Linked DNA regions of Ovis aries. The main gene of each other region encodes a partner of the protein of the gene in region 2 in a complex. Links are inferred from orthologs where the notes say so. Each region holds a gene or a part of one and is shown on either strand. Other genes may lie near its edges. The genes, in order: KHNYN, NEDD8, PRKN, NAE1, UBE2M and UBA3.

Region 1 (3,135 bases), about 210 kb from region 2:
GAGGCCTTCCACTCCGCTTCCTTCATTTCCAGTCCTGCCATTACCACCTGCACTACTTGGACAATGCAACTGAGGTACCACTGCATAGCCTCCTGATAAGGCGGTCTCCTGCCCCCAGCCATTTACCACCCTCCAGCCTCTCCTCCCCTGATAGAACATGCTCTTCCCCTACACAAGTCTTCCAAACTTGCCCTTCCCAGGCTTGGCAGCTAAGGCCTAGCAACTAGCTCCAAGCCACTCTTACTGCCTTATCTCTCCCCATCCTCCCTAATGCACTCATAGCTCCTGCCAAAAACCAACGATCAGATTTCACCTTGTTCTTCAAACATGCCCTGCACTGTCCGACTTTCATGTTTCTCAAACTGTTCCCTTTATTCCCTCCATCTGGAAGGAAACCAGACCTCACTGATAGGATCACAAGGGGAACGTCAAAAAAAAAAAAGATGCCTGGGCCCCATTTTAATAATTCTGATTCCACAGGAGTGGGGTAGAACTCATGAGATAAGTCTTTTAACAGGTTTAGAAACCAAGAGATCCAGTGCATCCGATATCCTTGTCAATCAACAAAAACTCTCAAATCCTTCCTTTCCCACAAGACCCCAGCCAGAAGGGAGATCCCTTTCCTCTCAGTTCTGTAGTGTTTGATTTATAGTTTCTTTGGGCTTTTTGAAGTCATGAATGCAGTCTTCCCTGATTCCTGCCTCCTTCGGCAGCCCAGACACCTAGGACCCCACAGGCAGTCAGTATCTGAAAAACAGTGTGGTATAGCCTTGGTCATTTAGTCGTGTCCAACTCTTTGTGACCCCATGGACTGTAGCCCGCCACACTCCTCTGTCAATGGGATTCTCCCATCAAGAATACTAGAGTGGGTAGCCATTCTCTTCTCCAGGGGATCTTCCTGACCCAGGAATGGAACTCGGGTCTCCTGCACTTCAGGTGGTTCTTTACTGTCTGACCACCAGGGAAGCCCTAGTGTGGTATATAGGGGACCATTAACCAGCATTCAGTATGACAGATGTCTGCTTCTGAGCTTCTATCTGGGAAACAAAGAGATGACATTATAAATATATAGGGTACCATATAATACACAAAAGGTATTTTCAAATTAAGGATAACTGTACTATTACCACATGAGATCGTATGTTGTTCTCCAGTATTCAGTAGGTCTGTGCTACATGCCACTGTAACTAGGCAAAATACAAAATTTATATTGTGCCTCTGCCTGTCAGGACCTACACAACTGTGCAGACACGTGCCTTCAAAATTTATTACAAGTGACAACCTTCAGTTTTAATTGTGTCAATATGGCATGTAAAGAAGGTTCTGTATTTCGGATAACCTGTGAAATCTAGGCCTAAAACAGAACTGCACTGGGAGAACATGAATTGTCTTTTTGTAGAATACCATTTACCTGTTAGGGAGTAAAAGCTAAGTATTTGAAAAAACAAAATATATAATCAGTACAGCTTGGGAACTCTTTTTTAATTTAAAATTCAGAATCCTGGAGAATAAAGAACTTATCACTGTAATTTTTTCAAATGGGTTAGTTAGCTTTTAAAATCCACCCATGGGATGTCCCTGGCGGTCCGGTGGTTAAGAATACACCATCTAATGCAGGGATTGAGGGTTCAGTCCCTGGTTGGGGGAACTAAGACCCCACCTGACACAACAAAGATCCAATGCAGCCAAAGGGAGGGAAAAAAGCCTATTGAAAAATAAGAATAATAAGATCCACCTGTCTCCCACACTCTGTACACCAGGGAGGAAATGTGTCTTGTGTTCTTCAATTAAACCATCTAGCAGCTTTAAGTTCTCGTTTTTCCTTTGCCACGTCATAGCCTTTGCCAAGAGAACTAACTACTCCAACCCTCTGTCTGTCTCCATTTCTGTACAATGGAGATAAGACGCCCTGCCACACTTGATTGAGTCCCTGAAAAACTAACGAATATCACTGTCTTCCGGCAGAGCACCTTGAGTGAGGCAAGCACATACCTTAGCTTCTTTTGACATTCACAAGGAGGATGAATGAATGGAAGAGGAACTTAAGACAAAGAGGTTAATCCACTAAGAGAATCTACAATAACTATGCAACTTGAGGCTCAAATTCAGACCTTCAAATTCTAAGACCATTGATCTTTCACTTATCTTTTTTTAAATACCATGTTTTGTACAGCCGTATTATGCATGGAATCCATGCTTTATTTATCATTATTTGGATCATTTACTCTGGTTTTCCCAGAAGGTTGGAGAATTTCTCTATGTGTTTGGACATCTAGGTTGTAAGAGGCATTTGTCAGCTAGCTATTCGTACCACCAGCTTTCCCATGTTTCCATTAAAACAGTGTTTTCTAGATGGTAAGGCACTATTAATATAAATACGAAGCATCCTTTAGTTTGATCAGTAAAAAAGTGAAGGATGAAACAGAGTTGTTCACCCTCCATCTCATCCTGTCTGCAGGGCAGCTTCACCTCCCCAGACATAGGGGCACACGGAGAAGCGGCCCTTTTCCCATGACTCAAGTCTTAGTGTGAAGGGGCCAGAGCTTCTGTCTCCCCCTCAGTCTCCCACCAGGCTCCCTGAATGTCAAGTCTGTGGACAAGGGAGAAGCAAGTACCTGTCATCATAGGAGGAGATCCTCTTGCCATCTAAGACCCGGGAGGGTGTGAGGGAGAGCAGGCTGAGGGAATACAGCTTGTGCAGGAAGTGACCCTCTAGAGAAACAGAGACGCACAATGGGGTTATCCCTGAGGTGAACTCAGGGCCCATCCCCAGACACAAGAGACCAGGTCCAACTCACCTCTGACCTTGGAGTCCTTACTGAAACGCCACTGAGGCACAAAGACAGTTATGTCGCGGTGGCCTCGGTCCCAGAAGTACTGCACGGCAATGGCAATGCCCCGGCTGGAGAAGTAGTGCTGGAGGCCGTGCCTGCAGTGGGAAGGGGTCAGCACTCAAGGGCCCTCGAGTGGAGACCTGGCAGCCTGGCTGCATTGCCCTCCGCTTGGCACACGTCCCCAGGGTGAACACAACTGCCCACCTCTACCTCATCCCCTCCCTGGGACCCTCAGCCCCACCAGGTACTCACACCATGGCCACGTTGCTGCCATCGATGACGATATGGCGGAGGTCTGGCT
Region 2 (2,923 bases):
ACTCACTCTCCTGGTTTCTAACACCTACATCAATAGTATGCTGAAAGATATTTAACAACCAGTTTGGGGGGAAGGACTGATTTGTATTGTCAATTTCTGTAAATACTCTGACCGTGGCCAATTTCAAGCTACCAACATGAAGTCAGTTAATATGGGGCTGGGAAAGATGCCAGCGATTAACTCTGGCACAAGTAACAGTTGGCTCTGGCACACTCCTGAGTATATACACTTACAGTTTGAGAATTCCTCCAAGGGTGCATTCCTGTCCATTGTCACAGTCCTTCAGCCTGGTGTAACTGGGTGTGCACCGGGTCCGTTCTGGGTTTTTTTTTACCACACCCAAAACTAAGATCCGACTGGTTCTGTGGGATCTTAGTTCCCCAACCAGGGCCTGAACTCTAGCCCTTAGCAGTGAAAGCACGGAATCCTAACCACTGAACCACTGGGGAATTCCCTGGGTCCACTTTGATTTCAGTCACATTTGTGCAATAGAAGAAAGATTCCAGGAGGTCAAGAAATATTTTATTGAGAACCAGGGACACAGCCATAAGAGAGCGAAGCACACAGGACTGCAAACTAAAACCCAGTAGCCAGCAAGGGCCCTCTGGGCCAGGAACACTGCCTCCTGGGGTCCTCACAGTCTCCCACCAGCAGACACACAAGACTGGGCAGCCAGGGGAGCGGGGAGTGGTTCTGGTGTCCCACAGAGGGAGAGGATATACGATGCCTCATTATGAGTGACAGGGCAGGGAGGTCAAGCGGAGCGGAGTCCATCACTGCCTAAGACCACCCCCTCCTCTCAGAGCCAACACCAGGTGGAGGACTGAGCCACCTAGTATCTTGTAGTCAGCTGCCGTCTTCTCATCATTCCTACAGGAAGAGGCAAAAACAGGAAAACAAGTTGTTAGCAACACCCTTTAGAGTGGCACTCTTGACCTGGGTTTCATGGATCTCTGGAGATCTATGAGTGCATATGAGAAAATAAATTACATCTTTTATGTTTTTACTAACCCCCAACTGTAACTTGATATTTCTTTCAATTTTGAACACAGACAAAAGCCCACAGAGGAATTAGCAATATAGGTAACCTGTTAACAAGAGAAATTAGAGATATTTTCAGACTTCCCTGGTGGCTCAGTGGCAGAGAATCAACCTGCCAGTGCAGGAGACAGAGGTTCAATCCCTGATCTGGAAAGATCCCACATGCTGAGAAGCAGCTAAACCCATGTACCACAGCTGTTGAGCCTGTGCCCTAGATCCCGGGAGCTGAGACTACTGAAGCCCACACGCCCTGCAGCTGGTGCTCTGCAACAAGAGAAGTCACGGCATTGAGAACCCCACGCGCTTCAACTAGAGCAAAGCCAGCGCCGCAAAGACCTAGCATAGCCAAAAAAAAAAATCCCATCACCATACCTTCATTTCCATTCCATACTTACATCTGTTTACCACTGTAGATGAGCCGCTGCTGCTGTGGTGGAATCCCCTCTTTCTCCTCCACACGCTCCTTAATTCGTTCCACCTTTAGGGGTACAAGTAGTCAGGGGCTGCTCAGGGGGAGGGACCATGGAAGTGGAAAGAACAAGAGCTATGCAGATCGCATGAGAGCAAAAGGACTAATTTCATCAGCATACCCAGGCAAAGGCACATGTAGGGAGATAGGCTTGGAGAGGTACTGGGCATACACTACCTTGTCCGTGGGTTCAATGTCAATCTCAATCTCCTTTCCGGTCAGCGTCTGAAATAGGCAAGGCTTTCATAAGTCTTATAGTTCAGTATACAATTTGTCTCCTAGGTAAAACATCCTGGCCTAGCCTTGGGGGATTGACTCCCTCCTGAGAAATGCACATTCTCAGCAAAGTTGATTTGAAGTGTCAGGAGTATTTGCTCAGACCCAATTTCAGACATTTTTAGGCTGTGAACAACTTTGACAGGGGAAGAGTCTGTAAACCATTTGACCTCTTAATCTCACAGGTCATCTCATTCCCCACCCAATTAGAATCCATGAGAATACTATAACTCCTTTGGATAAGACAGCAATGAGAGTTGACCTAAGGAGAGTATTCCTTTGAAAAGGACCTTGTTTTATGTACTAATGCTAGAAATTAACACTCAGATAATTCAAAGCATTCTCAAGGACACTAGAGATCACCTCTGACCAGCTTTTTAAGCAATACTAGAACTCAACATTCTATTCTCCTGTATCTTCTCCAGATTTTCACCTGAATCCTAAAATTGCAGCTCTGGTCTTCTTGACTTATTCCATAGGCTAAGGGTTGCTGATACCCAAAACACAACCATACACTTACAAATGCTGTGCTTCATCCAATCTTATCTCCCATCCATTCTTGCTCTTAAAGCGCCACCTGCATCAGTCTACAGTAATCTAGACTACAAATGGACAGTCTAATTTAGGGACATTTTCTTTGCTTCTACTGTTTTCCTTGTTGCCATCCCCTCTTCCAATCTTTCTCAAACCTTCAAGGGACCCTTTAAGATTGATGACTTGTCACCAATGCACTTTATTTTTTTTTTAATTTTTTTTTTTTACCAATGCACTTTAATAGATATTACAGCTAGTTGTTTTAAGTGTCAAACTCTCCAATTTACACTCCAACTTCCTAAAGGACAGAGACTGTTCAATCTTCCCAGTCTAAGCACAAAGTATGGTGTTTGACATATAAGCAGTCGATAAATATTAATGGAAAGGCTAAATACACTGTTGGCTCAGACGGTAAAGCGTCTGCCTACAATGCGGGAGACCCAGGTTCAATCCCTGGGTCAGGAAGATCTCCTGGAGAAGGAAATGGCAACCCACTCCAGTATTCTTGCCCGGAAAATCCCATGGACGGAGGACCCTGGTAGGCCACAGTCCTTGGGGTCACAGAGAGTCAGACACGACTGAGCGACTTCACTCACTAAATAC
Region 3 (3,307 bases), on a different chromosome or scaffold from region 2:
ACCCGTCTGCTCCAGATTCTTTTCCCATATGGGTTATTCACTCCGTTCTTCATGAAGGTCAGATGTTCAGTCTCTGCCCCTTCCGTTGCTTGCGGTGATTGCACGGGAAGTCATCTGTGGGCACGCGGGCGGGTGTGGGAGTGTCGCCCAGGCGCTCACCCGTGTCCCCTCTCTGCCCGCAGGAGGATGCATGCATATGAAGTGCCCGCAGCCCCAGTGCCAGCTCCAGTGGTGCTGGAACTGCGGCTGCGAGTGGAACCGCGCCTGCATGGGGGACCACTGGTTCGACGTGTAGCTGGAACAGCGGCCGCGCAGGCGCACTCAGCCGCCATCCTGCTGGGAAGTACACGGCGCCCTACTATCTTCTGCTTTTTCCTCTCTCTACACACACACATACACACACACACACACACACACACACACACACACACACACACACACACACACACACACACACGTTTCCAGTTCTTTCCAAAACCACCAAAGCAAGGTTATCGGAGAAGCTCCCAGGATCCCCGTCTCCGGGCCCCTGAGAAACAGCGAAGCCAGTGATGAGTCCCGCCGGAAGTATTCTCAAGCCCCGAAAATGCACTCACAGTCAGAGCACAGAGGACGGTGCCGTTCCCCGTCTGTGTGCGCTGTCATTCTTGATTGAATTCGAGTCAGACTGGATAAGTACATAAAGACGGATTTCTCAATTACCTGCCTTTTACCTTCAGCAAATACTGGGAAGAAGCCTTTGGTGGGGTGGGGAATGATTTTGAGGGACTATTACCTGTGGTTCTTTGTAAGACTGCAGTGGATTCTGAGAACTTCATGCCCGGCTTAAATAGCAACGGACTTATTTAAATCTTCAGGAAGCATGTGTTCCCAAAGAGCCACAGGCAGTAGTCAAAACTATGTGTTTATCCCCAAGAATTCTATATTTATATCTTGCATTAATGAAACATCAACTCTGCATGAATCAGCTTGTCAACTAAGTGAGAAATTATGAAAGTTAATCTGAACATTGAATGCTCAAAATGGATGTATTTGAACATTCACTCCATTTAACTCTCTGCAGCTTTAGAAGTTGTTTTTCTGAAAACATTACAAAATCTAGAATTTGACTTTAAGCATTCATTTTGAGCGTGAAAAATAAGCTCATACGTCTGGCTTCACTGTACATGTGACAAGGGGCCTCTAAAGGAGACACTGTTAGAAATCAGTTCAGTGATGATTCTCAGTGTTAATAAACACGCAGTTTATTAAAGCAGAATCTCTAAGGAAGGAACCTTTCCAGCCCGTCAGAATGAAACCAGGCAGATCGGAAGGGTCATGCTCTTTCTATCTGCCTGGACAACTTTAATTACACTGTTTCATATCAGAGTATATTTTCTTCTGGATCTCTTTCAGATCTGATTCAAATTGCAGTTGTCAAAGCAATAAGACGCACAGGGAAACTGCAACAACAAAAGTGCCTAGAAAGGATAAGGGGGTCACTGCTGACAAATTGTGATGTGGAATCAAAATACAACATAAGTGTAATTAACCAGGTTCAGGGCAACCCGCACGGGGGCTCTGCCCACCCAGTGGGTTACTCAGAGTTCTTTTCTCTACGATTGTAAACTCACAGGAGAGTTTTTCCTCACGTTAGCACAGCTTGAATTGGATTGCTGATCAAGTTTTCATCTTTGTTTTATGCGTCATTCGCAGTACATCAAAGAGAGATGCATTTTCGCTGAATGCCACCAGCCTCCCTCTCCAGGGCACAGTGTGCGGGTGGAACAGTCTCACCGCTGCCTTTTGTTCTCATGGTCCACCTTCTCGGGAAGGTGGTAACAGTCCCTGAGGGTGTGATGACTCTCCTGTGAGCGCAGGGCTTCTTTCGGATGGATTTGGAGACCGGTAGCCAGCCTCATCTTTGTAGAGAGAGCACCAGAAATCCTTGCTGGAGGGAGAGGGCGGGGAAACCTCAGCAAGCTCCCGCAGATGTCCTGTGCCCCCTGTCCCTAAGCGTCCATCCAGGGACTGCCCACCCTGCTCCCTCCCGCGGAGGTCCTGAACCTGGAACGTGATTGGTGGGAGACAGCCCCGTCAGTGGGAAAGGAGTCACGCAGCTTCACTCTGTTGATCCAGCCTCCCCATCATGGCCCCAAGGCTGCTGGCTCCTGTCAGGGTCCCTATGGGTAGCACAGAGATGATGCAGAGCTGGTGTCTCGAGTGAGAAAAAGGCAGGGCACCGGGCTTGAGCCACCCTTGCGGTTGGCTGGCATCAGGGCTCAGCCTAGAACCCACTGGGGGCCCTCCTGCGCGTTACCAGTGGTCCCAGCGGCTCCTTACTCTGACCCCGCAGGACAGTTAGGTGGCTCCCTCTGTCGTGGGGAGCTCCCAGCATTTCATACCCTCCATGGGTCTGAGGTTTAATGATGCTGATGTTATTGCCTGCTCCCCGATTTGCATGGTTTGTTGGGGGTGCCAAGCTGAGCAAGGTTTGCTCCCGCTTGTTCTGGCAGTAGAAGCTCTAGGTCTCTGCTCTTTTCCTGATAGTAGCCTTCTTTTTTTTCTTTTTTTCTTTTTCAAAATAGCATAAATTGATTCTTAAAACAAGTTAAAGGATAAACAGCCACTGTGAATGAGGCTGAATCACAAACCACTATAAATGAACATGTCTGAGCACTGAACGGTGTCACAAAAATCTGAATCTAGCAAAAGAAAAGAAAGTTTTCGCAGAAGAGTCTTTATTTTTTTTCTAAGTTGTGTAAGGAAATACTCGGCAACAATTGTCTAAGGTCATACTCAAATTGTCAATAAAAGAATCAAAAGAGCGTCTGAGTCCATCTTTGAGGGTACGTTGTCCATAAACGCTGAAGGCAGGGGAGGGTGGCCCAGGGTGTGTCTCTCGTGGCCGGAAAGGGTTGCCGAGTGCGCCCGTGGCCATCCTGGTCTCCACCCCGAGCTCCTGACTCGTTCTGGTGGTTTGTCTTCTTTCTAAAGATTGACTTGTTTAGTTCCCTTTGTGCAGTGCGCGTCATTGTTGCTGCGCTCTGGCTTTCTCCAGCTGCGGCGAGGGAGGGCTGCTCTTCCTCGCAGTGGGCAGGCTTCTGGTTTTGTGGCTTTTGTGGCGAAGGGCTTCAGTCGCTGCGGCACATGTGTTCAGCAGCTGCAGTTCCCGAGCTCCAGAGCACGGGCTCAGGGCTCGCGGCACACACATTTAGTTGCTCCGTGGCATGTGGGGTCTTCCCAGACCGGGGATCCAACCCGTGTCTCTTGCATTGCTAGGTGGATTCTTAAACCAAAGTGGACCACCAGGGAAGATTCCTGGTTG
Region 4 (4,279 bases), on a different chromosome or scaffold from region 2:
ACTGTCAAACCATGCCCCTTACTCAGTTCCCATCCCAGGGTGGGTTGGGGTGGAGATCTGTGCTCACTTTCACCTTATTTGAGGTAATCATTAACCTGAAGATGCCTGTAGTGTCTGTGAAATAGGAAGGAATCCTCATGTCCCCCTAGTCCCCTCTCTCCCCACCTTTCTCATGGAGTAGCCCCATTCCTTGGCAGCCATCCCCATAGGGATGGTTCTTTTTAGGAAGTGCAGAGCTTTAAATTCCTCCTTGATTTTATGTTCTCAGTCTTCACAACCTGGCTCCTACCACCTCTGAAACTTTCTCTGACCACTCCTTGTTGTTGCTCAGTTGCTAAGTCATGTCCAACTCTTTTGCAACTCCGTGGTCTGTAGCCCCGCCAAGCTCCTCTGTCCATGGGGTTTCCCAGGCAAGGATGCTGGAATGGGTTGCCATTTCCTTCTCCAGGGGATCTTCTTGACCCAGGGGTCGAACCCGGACCTCCTGCATTGGCTGGTGGATTCTTCACCACTGAACCACCTGGGTGACCACTCCCTACCCTTCACCTAACTCTGCTAAGTAGCTTCAGTCGCGTCCGACTCTGTGCAACCCCAGAGACGGCAGCCCACCAGGCTCCCCCATCCCTAGGATTCTCCAGGCAAGAACACTGGAGTGGGTTGCCATTTCCCTCTCCATTTCCTTCACCTAACTCTACATCACACCAAACTTCCTTTAGTGCCTCAGCCTGTCATGCCTTATCTGCCTCCCGGGGATGACATCTGCTGTTCTTTCTGCTTAAAACACTCTATCTTGCCCACTTGGTGTGAACATTCCTGGAAGAGGGGAAGTAAGTAGAGTTCCTCTGCTCACCTCTCAGGTCCTCAACTTCCCTCTACCTATAGGAGGGTCATATTGTCTAAGGAGTACTCCTTCACTGTCTCTCTCTTCTTGGGACAGTGAACTCCCCAAGAACCGAGTCCCGGACTTATTCCTCTTTGCATCTGCAGCCAGGAGCAGCTAGCTTTGTGGTTGGAAACAGACGCTCACTGTGGGCTTCTTGCCTGAGAGGATGGAAGAAATGGGTGAATAATAATGCACATAATAATGAAAGTTCTTCCGACAGGATTTTTTTTGTGAGTCCTGTGTGTTCAAAATCTCACTTAAGGTTAACAGAACAGGATTTGAGAGGTAAAGAGCGTAAACCAGTGAGTGGTGAAAATCGAAATCTGCCTGATTCCAAAGCCCAAGTTCCCCACAACTACCGAGCGTACAAAGTCACGGATTGGTCGACCAGAAGGACTGCTGCACGGGTAAGGCGCGACTACCTTACCGGTGGTCACCAGACCCGTTTCTGAGGTTTGGCCGCAGACTCCCAGGTGTACAGGTGACGCGTGCGCAGTGCAGTGGAGGCGCCCCCTGCCGGCCGCGCGCGGGAGACGGCGCGGCAAAGGGGCGCTCAGTGCGCCTGCGCGCTCGAGGAGGCGGTGGCAGTTTTCGGTAGTGGCCCGGCGGTTCTCCGTGGGGCGGGCGCGGCCATGGCGCAGCCGGGGAAGCTGCTAAAGGAGCAGAAGTACGACCGGCAGCTGAGGTGAGCCAGGGCTCACCGATTCGGGCGGGCCAGCGGGTTCCTCTGCGTCCGGGCCGGGCCTAAGCGAGCGGGCGGCGCGGTTGGGCCTCTCTCGGGCCTCCCGCTGGGCTGGGCCGGGCCGTGCGTCCAGTGCCCAGGGTTCCGGCCTGGGGCCCCGGTGCTTCTCGAGGGCCGGCACTCGCCTTCCCCGAGGGGCGCGCCCGCCCGCTCGCCACGCGGTGTGCAGGTCGAGGTGCACCGCCCCCAGCGTCCGCCGGGTCACCGCGGCGGCTGCCGGTTCCGCCTCGCTGTGCTCCTGGTTTTGCAGAGTGAGGGGCTCGGGACTACCCCATCTCGGCCGCCGAGGGCAGCACCGAATGTTAGATATTGTTGTAAACAGGCGCTGTCCAGTAGAAATATAATGCCAGTCTCATATGAACCACATACGTAGTTATATATATGTGTATATATAACACATGTATATATGTGTATATGTAACATAATATTTATATTTGTAGTCACATTAAAAAGGACAAAGAAACAGGTGAAAATAATTTTAATAATTCAGTTTATTTTGTTTAACCCAGTATGTGCAAAATATTACTATTTCAACGCATAATCAGTATAAAAAGTTATTAGAGATATTTTACAATTTTTTCATTCTGTCCTCAGAATCCAACATTTTACACTTTTGGCGCCTCTCAAATTGGACTAGCCTTATTTTTAGTGCCCAGGAGCCACATGTGGCTAATGGACTAATGGATATCTACTTAATGGACTGTAGGTCTAAGTCATCCGGCTAGTCCTTAACTTCTTCCTCTCCCATGCCTTGTCTCCTAACACTCCCCATTCCTTATTTATTGAGCATTTTCTATGTGGTTAAAGGGCTTCCATGGTGTCTCAGCCGTAAAACATTCACCTGCAATGCAGGAGACCATCTACAATGCAGGAGACGTGGGTTTCATCCCTGCATTGGGAAGATCCCCTGGAGAAGGAAATGACAACCCACTCCAGTATTCTTGCCTGGGAAATCCCATGGACAGAGGATCCTGGCGGGCTGTTGTCTCTGGGGTCACAAAAGAGTCGGACATGACTTACAGACTAAACCACCACCAAAGGCAGCAGAAATAGCGCAACTATATGGCCTCTCTCCTTTCTGAAGACCCACAAGCCAGAAGTTACAGTATGTCCCTAAGGACCGGAACTCGCTTGCACCTCTGGCTTAGTGCTGTTGTTAGGGGCTTTATGCACTCAATTGTGAGAGCAGTCTTGAAGGCAGATATTCTGTCTCCTTTATAGATGGAAAAACTGACTCTTTAAAGTTTGATAACCTGCCCTGAGTATCCCATGTGTTTGAACCAGTATGTAAACTCAAGCCTTCTGGCTTTTCCAGAGCTGATAAGGTCTGCTCCCTGGGGAAAGGGAAAGGAAAGTTTCTGGGGAAAGAAGCAAGATGGTAGAGACTTTGTAACCAACTTGTGTTCTCTTGTAAATTCTTGGAGATCCTTGTGTTTTGAAGCAGAGGTAACCATACATGACAGAGCTGATAAAATATTTTAGATTACTAAGTACCTGTGACAAAAGAGAGTTTTTGCTAAATCGAGTCCATTTAAGGAACAAACAGTGAAAACTGTTTATTGGTTTTGAAGTGTCAGAGGGAAGCAGTTACAAGCAAGATTGTGCCACCAGCTAGCAGTCAGCAGGCCCTGCCTTCCTTAGCCAGCAAGAGAATGGAGAGGATTGATTTTTGTTTGGGCCATTTCTTGAAACGTATTACCTAGAGATGCACCAATAATCTCTTAGGCTCTTTCTCCAGCTACCCAAGTATCCATCAACCAGATATGCCAAGTGTTTTCTGTGTGCCCTACTTTCGTAGGAAAAAAACAGAGGTTTCCAGTCTGTCTGGTTCTTCTAGACTCATCCTCCATGCATTTGACAACTATTCAATGATTATTTATCCTGGACAAGGCACTGTATCAAGCACTGGGGCTTCAGTGGTGAACGTAGGGAGTGGTCTGTGCCCTTATGGAACTTAGAGTGGAATGGAGAGATGGATGTTCAGCAAATAAAACACCAGATGAGGCAGTTACAGTTGTGATTTACTCTGGAGGACGTACAGGCTACATCATAGGAGAGGATATGCTTTAGACAACGGACAGGAAGCAGCTTAAAGTCTCTGTCCTCCAGGTTATGACATTTTTCTAATGATTTGGGCTTCCCCTGTGTTAAGAAAAGACACATTAGGCTTTCTGGGCAAAGGTTGCCATGTTAGCCCAGCTGTCATGATGCCTGTTTGATCACATATCTTGCCCTGTTAATGATATGCTGGTGTGACAAGATGTAACATATTTCAGGTTATAACACATTTCTAATCCTTATTACATCTTTCTGTTTGTTAATGTATGCATTTATGAGTCATGCTGTTAGAATTGGGAATAACATTTTAAAGCACTCCTGTAGAAGTCAGTGTGAAGGCTTTTCAGATGGTACTTCAGTTTTCTTGGTAAAGCTTTTCTCACTCTTGAACGTGTCATGGTGGATCAGTATTATGTCAAGATCTTAAATTACACTGGATCCCTGTAATTTAAGGAGAAATAAAATAGAGGATGCATGTCTGCTTAGTTGCTTCAGTTGTGTCCGACTCTTTGCAACCCTGTGGACTGTAACCCTCCAGGCTCCTCTGTCCATGGCATTCTCCAGGCAAGAATACTGGAGTGGGTTGCCATGTACTC
Region 5 (4,297 bases), on a different chromosome or scaffold from region 2:
ACCACCCCGCATGGAGCGCTGCACATTCTGCTCAAACAGCCTCCGGTTGTTCTGCAGGACCTCGGCGGCTTCCTTGTTCAGTGGGTCTTCAGGGTTGGGCTCCTGTGGCCGGTATGGGAGGGGCAGGAGGTCAACAAGCCCAGAAGTCAGAGGGCCAACCTCCCCCAGCTGCCCTCCCACCCCCACCCCTACTCACCAAGAAGAGATACTGCAAGCCATAAATTATGGAGTTTATCGTAAGGACTGGCTTCCAGTCCTCTCTGTGGGCAGAGAGCATCATGATAGGGGCTGGTGAGCGGGCAGCCACCACAGGCCCTGCTGGGACCAGACAGGTCAGGCCCAGGGCATGGGACAGCACGATCGGGAAATGCTAGCGGGAGGGTGCAGAGAAGCACAGGCCAGAAAGCCAAGGTCAAGCCATGAGGAAGAAAACGCAGAGCTGAAGAGACAGAGGGACACACAGACCACAAGGGGAAGGGAAGGGAAAGAGACTGGTATAGTGCAAGGTCATGAAGGGGGCCTGGCAGGCAGGGCTGGGCAGCGTAGTGGAGGGCCAGTGCCCTCACCTGAGGATGTTGAGGCAGACGTTGCCCTCGAGGTCAATGTTGGGGTGATAAACCATCGTCTCACACTTCACCTTGGGGGGGTCATGCGGGTAACCCTGGCCCACCTGGCTCCAGGAGAAGAGAGGGCAAGTGGATAGGTGCACAGCAGTGCCTGGCTGGGGCCTCAGCTGTTGCTTCCTCAGCCCAGGGAGCCACCCCTGCACACCTGAGACTCACCTTAAAACTGAACACAAACTTCCCGCTCTTGTAGAAGCCCTGTGAAGGAAGAGGAGAGGAGTCAGAACCCCACTCTGCAAGGCCCGGCAGGTGAACCAGCCAACTTGAGGTGGTGTCACCTGCCGTGCCTGAGAATCCAGTTAAGCGTGCCCTCACCTCATCAGGACAGATAACCAGCTTGAAGTTGAGGAGGTCGTCTGGATCTGAGAAACTGATGTCACACGTCTTGGGCAGATTCAGCTCGTTTATGTCTGGGTTTTCACAGCAGAGAAGGGAAACAGGCCAGGAAAGGGGGAGATAGGGGGTGCTCAGAGCAGGTGCCAGCAGAGCCTCCATAACCTCTACCCAGGACCCCAGTTCTGTCCTGGGCAGTGGGCCACCCCCTCCTCCCTCTCCCTGCTCCTTCTGCTCCGCGTCTCCAGGCAGGCTCTTCCGTATCTATGGAACACTGCAGATATGCTGGAACTCCTGGGGGGCAAGCTCTAACTCTTCTGAATCCAGTCGTAAGTCCCCCAGCCCAGCTCCTACATGTTCCCACTCCTGTGTGTCCCACCCCAAATCCAGCATCCTGACCGCGACCTCCGCTTTCTAGAGGAGTCTCTACTTGTCTGCGCAGATGCAAGGATCTTATTTCCCTTCCTCACCCTAAATCACCACCCCCCCCAGTCCCTGGCCCCCACTGTCCATACACTCCTCTCTGCTTGTCGTCCTAAACTCAGGATCCCATCTGACCTCCAGATCTGTGAGTTCCCAAGCCTCCTACCCTATACTATTCTGAGCATAAGAGTTCCAGCATCTCTAGCAGGATGGTCTAAACCCAACCCTACTCCTATCTCTATAATCCCTGGTACCCAGCATCCCTCCCTCCTCCTGTCACCCCAAACTGACATGTGACTCACCCAGACCCACGACACCCAGGCCCCAGAACCCACTTCACCAGGTCTGACTCTGATTCCCAGTGACTCTAGCGTTAATACACTAAATCTCCCACCCCGATCCTCAATCCTCGGCCCCACTGTCCCTATCTCCTCTTCCTGTCGCCCAGGTTCCCATCTGACCCCCCGACTCTCGAGTTCCCGGTCTCCCTCTTCCGCTGCCACCCTCAGATTCTCGGTCCCTAGTATCAGACTCCTAGCTTTCCGAACACGCTCAGTGCCCCCTGCTCGGCCCCCCTACCTCCGACCACTTTGGTGATTATATTACCCCATCCCCGGCCCCTCGGCCCCCAGGCCCTGGTCTCCGATCCCCACATCCGCGGCCTCCCCGTTTCTGACACCTTTGACCCCTGGCAGCCGCATTACTCCACACCTGACTCCCGTATCACCCGGAGCCAGGCTCTGACCTCCGACCTCCACTCCCATCCCCCGACTCCCCTTACCCTTCTGGATCCGCAGCTGCGCCGCCGACGCCTTCTTGCTGCTGCCCTTGGTGCCGCCCGCCGACTCCTCCTCCTTCTTCTGCTGCTTCAGCGAGAACAGCTTGATCATCCTGCCGCCGCCGCCGCTGCCGCCGCTGCGGGGCCCGGGACCCCGGCCACCCGGCCCCCCGCCGCCGCCCGCGCCGCCTCCGCCACTCGGACCCGCCGCCGCGGCCTCTCCGGCTGCTGCCGCCGCCCGCCGGGCCTGCCGCGCTGCTCCGCGCCCACCGCGCGGCCCGCGTCGGCTCCCGTAGTCGGCTCTGGCCTGGCCCGGCGCCTCGGGCCCGCTCGGCGGCGTTCGGGCCCGCTCGGCTGTTCTCGGGCTTACTCGGCCCCGCCCCCACCCGCCGCTCCCTCCTCCCGGCCGTCCGCTCCGGCGTCCTCAGGCTCGGCTGCGGACGCGGGGTCCTCAAGCCGTGTCCCTGGGCCTGGTCACTCGCTCTCTTCGCGAGGGCTCTGCGGCTCGAGGCGGAAGGGGGAGGCGGGGGCTGCGATGGCCGTGCACTAGACAGGAGGGCCGGCTTCCGTGGCAGCAGCGGCTTCGGCGCGGAGGTCCGCAACGGCCTCGGGCGCCCCACCGCTTCGGCTATTTCCGTCGCCTGCCCGCTTCGGCTCTTCCCGCCCGGCCTGCGCTGTGCGCTTGCGCAGCCGCTGCCACCGCCCCACGTTGCTCCGCGCTGGGACTTGGGGATCGGGCTCCTTCGGCTTGGTTCGGGTATTTCCGTTCGTGCGGGCCGGGCCGGTCACTTCCGGGGACGCCCGCGAGTCCAGGGAGGAGGGGGATGGCGGTGTCGCCGCCATATTTAAGTGGGGCAGATGCAGGCCGCCTCACTTGCGGGCCGCCATGCCCACTCGCAGTTGTGCGGACGGCGGCATAGACGGGCCAAACAAGGGGCTTGACCCCAGGGGCCACAGACGGAGGCAGGGTTAGAGTCAGAGCCTGAGCAAGGCCAGGAGCGTGGCCTAGAGTGCATGACTCAGAACCTTCGGGGTCCCATCTCAGGCTCAGAGAACCCGCCTGCAGAGTTTGGTTGAGGTAAACTAGCAAATAAAACGTGTCAGAGGATAGTATAACACTGTGGAGGTTTACACGGGCTCACACGCTTGGGGGCAGCCCTCCGCACGGGTCTAGAGTTTGCCCGCAGGCGACCCCCGGCCTTCCGCCATCTCCGTCCGCGAGGTGGGCGGAGCCAGCCTCCCCTCCAATCACAGCTCAGCGTGCGTTGGAAGGCGCGAGCAGGCGGCGCGGAGCGGTTCTGCGACTTCAGGCTGTCACCGAGGACTCCGTCAGGCGGTGAGCGGCGCCACGAGGGCTGGTCGGGGCGGGGGGCCGGGCCCGGGGGGCGGCCGGGGCTCTGCCCCTGAGCCTTCCCGCGACCGAATGAGGCTCCTGCCGCACGACCCACCCCGTCGCTGAGGCGGCGTGCCGCCGTCTTCTGGAGCACAGTGGGAGTAGTCCGGCGGCCCAGTTGGGCCCGCGCTAGTGGTGGGCCATGGCCTCCTCTTGGCTACCCCGGCCCGATCCTCACCCCAGAAAGTAACCTCCACCTTTTCGGGCCGTGATTTGGCGTCCCTGCCGACCCCAGCCTCCTCTCGGGTACCCTCGGCGTCCTTGGGCTCCGTGGTCTCATATCCTAGTCGTGGCTGTTGCAGCCGTTCCCTTTTTCTCCCGCTTGCATTCTCTTTCCTCCATTCCAGAAGCCCCCCTTCAACCCTCTGGTCGTCCTCGCCCCAGACTGCCGGCTTCGTTGATTTCCTTGAGAGCTGTGTGCTGGAGAGGTGCTGGGGTGAGGCTAAGCGATTGGAAGCTGCAGAAAACCTCAGGTTTGGGGCGGATGAGATCGCAACCATCCTAGTGTTCTCAGGCTTCAGGCATGACTGTTCCTGGGACGCGGAGGCCTCTTTCAAACTCAGTTTTCCTTTTTGTTCTTCTCATCCGCTCTACTCTTGGTGATTATTTTTGTACGGCACGTGAGGGTTGATGACCATCCTGCAGTTTCCAACCAAAGTCTCAGGGATGGTTTTTATTGGCCAGCCTGGTTCATGTGTCCATCCTCAGGCCAGTTAATGAGACCCTTCAGCTAAGGTCCCATCTCGG
Region 6 (4,045 bases), on a different chromosome or scaffold from region 2:
TTACTGTAAAGGAATATTTCCCATCCCATAATAAAAAAAAGTTGCTTCTAGCTGAACATTTGCTTTAAGTCAGACACTACTAGTTTCAAATTCTATTCCTCTATGATACTGCAGTCACATACTTTTTATACTTTTTAACAGGCAATTAATTATATTGAATTCTAAGTAATTACTTATAAATTAATTATATTCAATTCCAAAACTAATTATATTAATTTCTAAGTAAAGATACTCACTTCAAATAAACTTCAAAATTTAAGCAAGCACATCTATATCTCTATGAAAGTTAAATTTTTCATAGCAGGGATTAAAACGGTGTGTCTCAAAAGTAATTTTAAACTGGAATTTTAAATGAAGTATAACATAATTTTAAGTGAGGTTATGAAGTCATTTTACTCTTGAAAATTAACATATTACATTTGAAAAATGTGAAAATAACTCAAATATTCAAATAAAATCAGTTGCAAATATTCTATTTACTATTTCAAGATAACTTACACAACTCTATTAGTATTTTTATTATAAGAGTAAATTAAAAAGGAAGCATCTTATTATATTTGCAACATAAAACTATTAGAGGAGTTATTTAAAAATAAACAATTCTCACTTCAGTGCTCGGTTCGAAATCAGGGTGTGTGAAGGGTCCAGATCGCTCGAGGAACTTCTTTACATGGTTCCAGCGACCTTCCCAGTCTCCAGTGTCCCCACACCCACCATCAACAGCCATTCTGCACAGAACACAGTAAATTCAGCTGCAAAGATCAGTATGAAAAAGCCACACCTACAACTAATATGGTTTTCCCAAATGAAAAGGTAACCACACCAGATCTGCTCAAATACAAAGGGTAATAATTCAATGTAGTTACGCTTATGCTTTTATTGTCTTTTCTTGCTATTATATAGTTTATATAAAGTTAAGAACAGATTGAGGAAATAATCAGTAAGTTTCTGGGTTCCTAAAATAACCTAAAATCAAACTTGGGATACTGATCTATCAGCGAGAAATGGGCTTTCTAAACATTTGGAACTTACTGAACACTGCAAACTGCCCAATCTATTCTATAAACAGCCTTGGAACAGAAAATATAAGCTACAAGAAAAAACAAAAACCAAAAAAATCCCTCCACTTCCAGAATCCTAATGCTTGACATCTAACATAACTCATGTGTCATTTCCAAGTTTGAAAAGTATAACTTATTTCTGATGAGAGAAACATCATATTTTTCTCTGGGGTCCTAATTTTCAAAAAAGAATCTCTTAGGACTATAAGGTGGCTTCTATTGCCACTAAACACAATCAAAGTTTTAGATTATAATTACATCACAGGTAGGCAATACCATCTACAAACCTTTTAGAACATACAATCCAGTAAGGAGGGACTCCACTAACAAAACATGTTTTCTATTCTTTGCAAGACTCATGTTTCCTTGTAACTATTTTTAATTTTCAAATTTCCTACAATCCCACAATTTCAAACATATTTAGTAATATCCAATTTTTACAAAACGGACCAAGTATTGCCTAGCAATAAAGATTACAGGGTTTGACGTCACAGCTGGATTTGGTTCCACAATTAATAGCATTGTGACCTTCAGCAGATCACTAGACAGCCATAAACCTGATCTGTAGCTTGTCTGTAGCTACTTAACATCAGAATGATAGAGATAATCCACATAGAGGCCTTAGTACAATACGTGGTATATAGTAAACATTCAAATCGTAGCTGTCATTTTAAGCAAAAGTGGAATGAAATGAAAGGTGGGAAGAAATGTGAAACTTAACTTGTTCCAAGTCCTCTCGCGATTGAAATTCAACTTTCTGAGATACCTAAGGCCCTGCTACTGAGGACTGCCACAGAAATGACTAACTCACCACGCCCACTGTAAGAGCACTTTCTTCCCGTCCCAAGTAAGGAGGAAGAAAAAATAGGTGATGCTGCCCGGGGTGTAACACACTTCGTTTAAACCTGTCTCACTAGCACAAAACTAGGCATCTGATATGAAATCAGGTGTGTAATACATGGAGAACATAAGCTCTCTGGAGGCAACACTCTCCTTTCAGAGCCAATGATTTTGCAAAAAATGACTGAAGTGCTTAGTACGATACCAGACTTAAAGTTCTCATCAAAAGTTTGCAATTAATACTATTGTCTCCGTGTTTCCGAAAGGCCAAAAAAAGGCCCATCGTCCGTTTCATGTGTTTTGGTAAGACTCCCTTCTGACAAAGTCTCGGCTCTGACAATCTGGGATGGAGGAAGAGGGGCGCAAGGGTCCTTCCGCAAGACCTTTCGGTCAGGCACCCCGGCGGGCCGGCGCGGAACCTGAGCGCGGTACCCGGGCCCAGCGCCCGCCCGAGACAGAGACCGGGAGGGCCCGCCGGGCCCCTGGGGCTGCGGGTGGGGGTCGGGGGATGAGGCCGCGCGGCCTGCGCTCCGGGTGCCCCCCCTCCCAGCCCCCCGGGCCCGCTGCGGCTGGTCCCCTAGGCCTGGGGTGAAGGGAGGCGGGGGCCCCCGGAGAGGGCCCCGGCCTCCCGGCAGCACTAACTTCTCAGCCAGCAGCTCCTCTATTCTCCTTCTTTTCTTCTCCCTAAAAGAAAGAGAGAATAAAAGAAGGGTCAGCATCACGCTACACATTGGGCGCCGCGAGGGGATGGGGGGCGAGGGGACGGGGCGGAGGGTGGGAGGACCCCGGGTGGAGGCGGCGACCGCCCACCGCCGCGCTCTCTCACAACCCAGCCCGGCCCGGGGCGCCTGCAGAGCCCGGGTACTTACGGCTCCTCGCCATCCGCCATATTGTTCTCCGCCTCTTCCCATGCACCCCCACGGTGGGAGGAGCGAAGGGGCGGGGCGGGGCGGGACCGGCCATGAGGGGCCGGTGAAGAGGGGCGGGGACTGCGGGGAGGAGGCGGGGCTGCTGGGGCTGGTTGTGAGAGGCTCCCGTGGGTTTAAAGGCTTCTTTGTAATTAAAGTCATGATTAAATACACTTAGAGAAGTCTTACCCAATGTATAATCTTGTGTGAAAATACAACCTCATCTGTAGCTTATTTATGAATATATATAAATTCTATAAATTACAATTTATACAAATAACAAATGTTATTTGTTTATATGATTTATGTATATATGCAAAGCATCTCATCACCTAAAAATAAACGGTGATAGAACTTTGCACTATTTTCCAGAGTCAGAGATAGAGCTGCAGACATATAGGTAGATACATAGGGGTGTGTGTGTGTCTATGTGTCTGCACACACACGCACCTGAGTTCCTATGTGTCTGAATGGCTGGATAAAGAGAAACAATCATGTTCAAAACAAGTAAAACACACACACACATATATACATACACATACATACATATATCCTTTCTTGGAGCAGGACACGAATGAGATTGTGAGTCAGAAAGGACAGTTTATTTAAATCCTTAACTCTCCACCTATTAACTGTGAGACTTTGGGCACTACTGTGTCTTCATTTGTAAACTGAGGATGATAATGTTCACCTTGTAAGACTGAAATTAAATGAAATCTATTGTGTTTTCAAAATATAGTCCCTGATCAGCCACATCAGCATCATTAGGGAACTTGTTACAAATGCAAATTTTCAGGCCCTACCTGCAACCTTCACTAAACCCAGGATGATTCTGTGCAAAATAAAGCTTGAGAATTGCTGAAATGGAAAGCATAAAGCCTGGTTAGCACTCAGTTAATGTAGCTGCTAATAAATTATATTTAATTTCCTCTCTGTTCTTTATTATCCCCCAATCAAATTTAATTCAATAACATTCATTGAGCTGAAAGTCAGTGCCAGACAGTCAATGGAGGGACAGAGTTCACAGCCCGCAGTCCCACAGCAGGAGACAGACGCCAGCCCCTCTCCACGTCACATGTCTCAACATCAACCCAAAAACTTTTTTTTTTTCCCCCAAACTCCTTTACAGGTGGAAACTACTAAGGTTAAACCCTTCTTTCTCAAAACAGGCTCATGTGTGCTGGGTCTCCAGCAATGCTTTTAGGAGACCTTCCATTAATGGCAGTGAGCATCACA

What was found.
Region 1: the proteins of NEDD8 (region 2) and KHNYN are in contact, whole or in part, in an NMR structure (PDB 2N7K), measured with the Homo sapiens proteins. The link is inferred for Ovis aries from reciprocal best matches to the Homo sapiens genes NEDD8 and KHNYN. Residues at the interface, in NP_006147.1 of Homo sapiens: Thr9, Lys11, Glu12, Ile13, Glu14, Glu32, Lys33, Glu34, Gly35, Arg74; in NP_001277186.1 of Homo sapiens: Gln649, Asp650, His651, Lys652, Asp654, Phe655, Gln658, Arg659.
Region 3: the proteins of NEDD8 (region 2) and PRKN are in contact, whole or in part, in a crystal structure (PDB 8WZO), measured with the Homo sapiens proteins. The link is inferred for Ovis aries from reciprocal best matches to the Homo sapiens genes NEDD8 and PRKN. Residues at the interface, in NP_006147.1 of Homo sapiens: Lys6, Thr7, Leu8, Thr9, Lys11, Glu18, Glu34, Ile36, Arg42, Ile44, Tyr45, Ser46, Gly47, Lys48, Gln49, Tyr59, Lys60, Ile61, Leu62, Gly63, Gly64, Ser65, Val66, His68, Val70, Leu71, Ala72; in NP_004553.2 of Homo sapiens: Lys151, Arg170, Leu187, Thr222, Ser223, Val224, His279, Gln282, Leu283, Gly284, Tyr285, Glu300, Leu301, His302, Arg305, Tyr312, Asn313, Tyr315, Gln316, Gln317, Gly319, Ala320, Glu321, Cys323, Val324, Met327, Leu331, Cys337, Gly338, Ala339.
Region 4: the proteins of NEDD8 (region 2) and NAE1 are in contact, whole or in part, in a crystal structure (PDB 3DBL), measured with the Homo sapiens proteins. The link is inferred for Ovis aries from reciprocal best matches to the Homo sapiens genes NEDD8 and NAE1. Residues at the interface, in NP_006147.1 of Homo sapiens: Leu8, Thr9, Glu28, Arg29, Glu31, Glu32, Lys33, Glu34, Gly35, Ile36, Pro37, Gln40; in NP_003896.1 of Homo sapiens: Asp177, Asn178, Ala179, Leu180, Tyr237, Lys240, Arg244, Asn273, Thr274.
Region 5: the proteins of NEDD8 (region 2) and UBE2M are in contact, whole or in part, in a crystal structure (PDB 2NVU), measured with the Homo sapiens proteins. The link is inferred for Ovis aries from reciprocal best matches to the Homo sapiens genes NEDD8 and UBE2M. Residues at the interface, in NP_006147.1 of Homo sapiens: Leu8, Thr9, Gly10, Lys11, Glu34; in NP_003960.1 of Homo sapiens: Asn42, Val122, Ser127, Tyr130, Gly131, Gln133, Tyr134.
Region 6: the proteins of NEDD8 (region 2) and UBA3 are in contact, whole or in part, in a crystal structure (PDB 3DBR), measured with the Homo sapiens proteins. The link is inferred for Ovis aries from reciprocal best matches to the Homo sapiens genes NEDD8 and UBA3. Residues at the interface, in NP_006147.1 of Homo sapiens: Lys6, Thr7, Leu8, Thr9, Gly10, Gln39, Gln40, Arg42, Ile44, Ser46, Gly47, Lys48, Gln49, His68, Val70, Leu71, Leu73, Arg74, Gly75, Gly76; in NP_003959.3 of Homo sapiens: Gly78, Gly79, Leu80, Gly165, Leu166, Asp167, Ser168, Ile169, Arg172, Asp200, Gly202, Thr203, Glu204, Lys207, Gly208, Asn209, Ile221, Cys223, Thr224, Glu226, Leu227, Tyr228, Pro229, Pro230, Ile310, Asn317, Tyr342, Val344, Asn346, Asp349.

Annotation. Positions count from the first base shown.
Region 1 is NC_056060.1:20,552,923-20,556,057, forward strand, and holds part of KHNYN (protein KHNYN), read right to left. Parts: coding exon 3,087-3,135; intron 2,930-3,086; coding exon 2,799-2,929; intron 2,713-2,798; coding exon 2,616-2,712; intron 1-2,615.
Region 2 is NC_056060.1:20,759,894-20,762,816, reverse strand, and holds the end of NEDD8 (NEDD8), read right to left. Parts: intron 1,736-2,923; coding exon 1,688-1,735; intron 1,520-1,687; coding exon 1,437-1,519; intron 871-1,436; coding exon 774-870; 3' UTR 501-773; downstream 1-500. UniProt on the Homo sapiens protein: Ubiquitin-like protein which plays an important role in cell cycle control and embryogenesis via its conjugation to a limited number of cellular proteins, such as cullins or p53/TP53.
Region 3 is NC_056061.1:84,706,712-84,710,018, reverse strand, and holds the end of PRKN (E3 ubiquitin-protein ligase parkin), read left to right. Parts: intron 1-182; coding exon 183-295; 3' UTR 296-2,807; downstream 2,808-3,307. UniProt on the Homo sapiens protein: Functions within a multiprotein E3 ubiquitin ligase complex, catalyzing the covalent attachment of ubiquitin moieties onto substrate proteins. Substrates include SYT11 and VDAC1.
Region 4 is NC_056067.1:34,109,976-34,114,254, reverse strand, and holds the start of NAE1 (NEDD8-activating enzyme E1 regulatory subunit), read left to right. Parts: upstream 1-1,479; 5' UTR 1,480-1,515; coding exon 1,516-1,568; intron 1,569-4,279. UniProt on the Homo sapiens protein: Regulatory subunit of the dimeric UBA3-NAE1 E1 enzyme. E1 activates NEDD8 by first adenylating its C-terminal glycine residue with ATP, thereafter linking this residue to the side chain of the catalytic cysteine, yielding a NEDD8-UBA3 thioester and free AMP.
Region 5 is NC_056067.1:66,428,870-66,433,166, forward strand, and holds the start of UBE2M (NEDD8-conjugating enzyme Ubc12), read right to left. Parts: upstream 2,801-4,297; 5' UTR 2,270-2,800; coding exon 2,161-2,269; intron 1,034-2,160; coding exon 939-1,033; intron 822-938; coding exon 783-821; intron 671-782; coding exon 567-670; intron 316-566; coding exon of another isoform or gene 261-315; coding exon 197-260; intron 103-196; coding exon 1-102.
Region 6 is NC_056072.1:32,550,179-32,554,223, reverse strand, and holds the start of UBA3 (NEDD8-activating enzyme E1 catalytic subunit), read right to left. Parts: upstream 2,801-4,045; 5' UTR 2,791-2,800; coding exon 2,771-2,790; intron 2,586-2,770; coding exon 2,544-2,585; intron 2,299-2,543; exon of another isoform or gene 1,783-2,298; intron 729-1,782; coding exon 608-728; intron 1-607. UniProt on the Homo sapiens protein: Catalytic subunit of the dimeric UBA3-NAE1 E1 enzyme. E1 activates NEDD8 by first adenylating its C-terminal glycine residue with ATP, thereafter linking this residue to the side chain of the catalytic cysteine, yielding a NEDD8-UBA3 thioester and free AMP.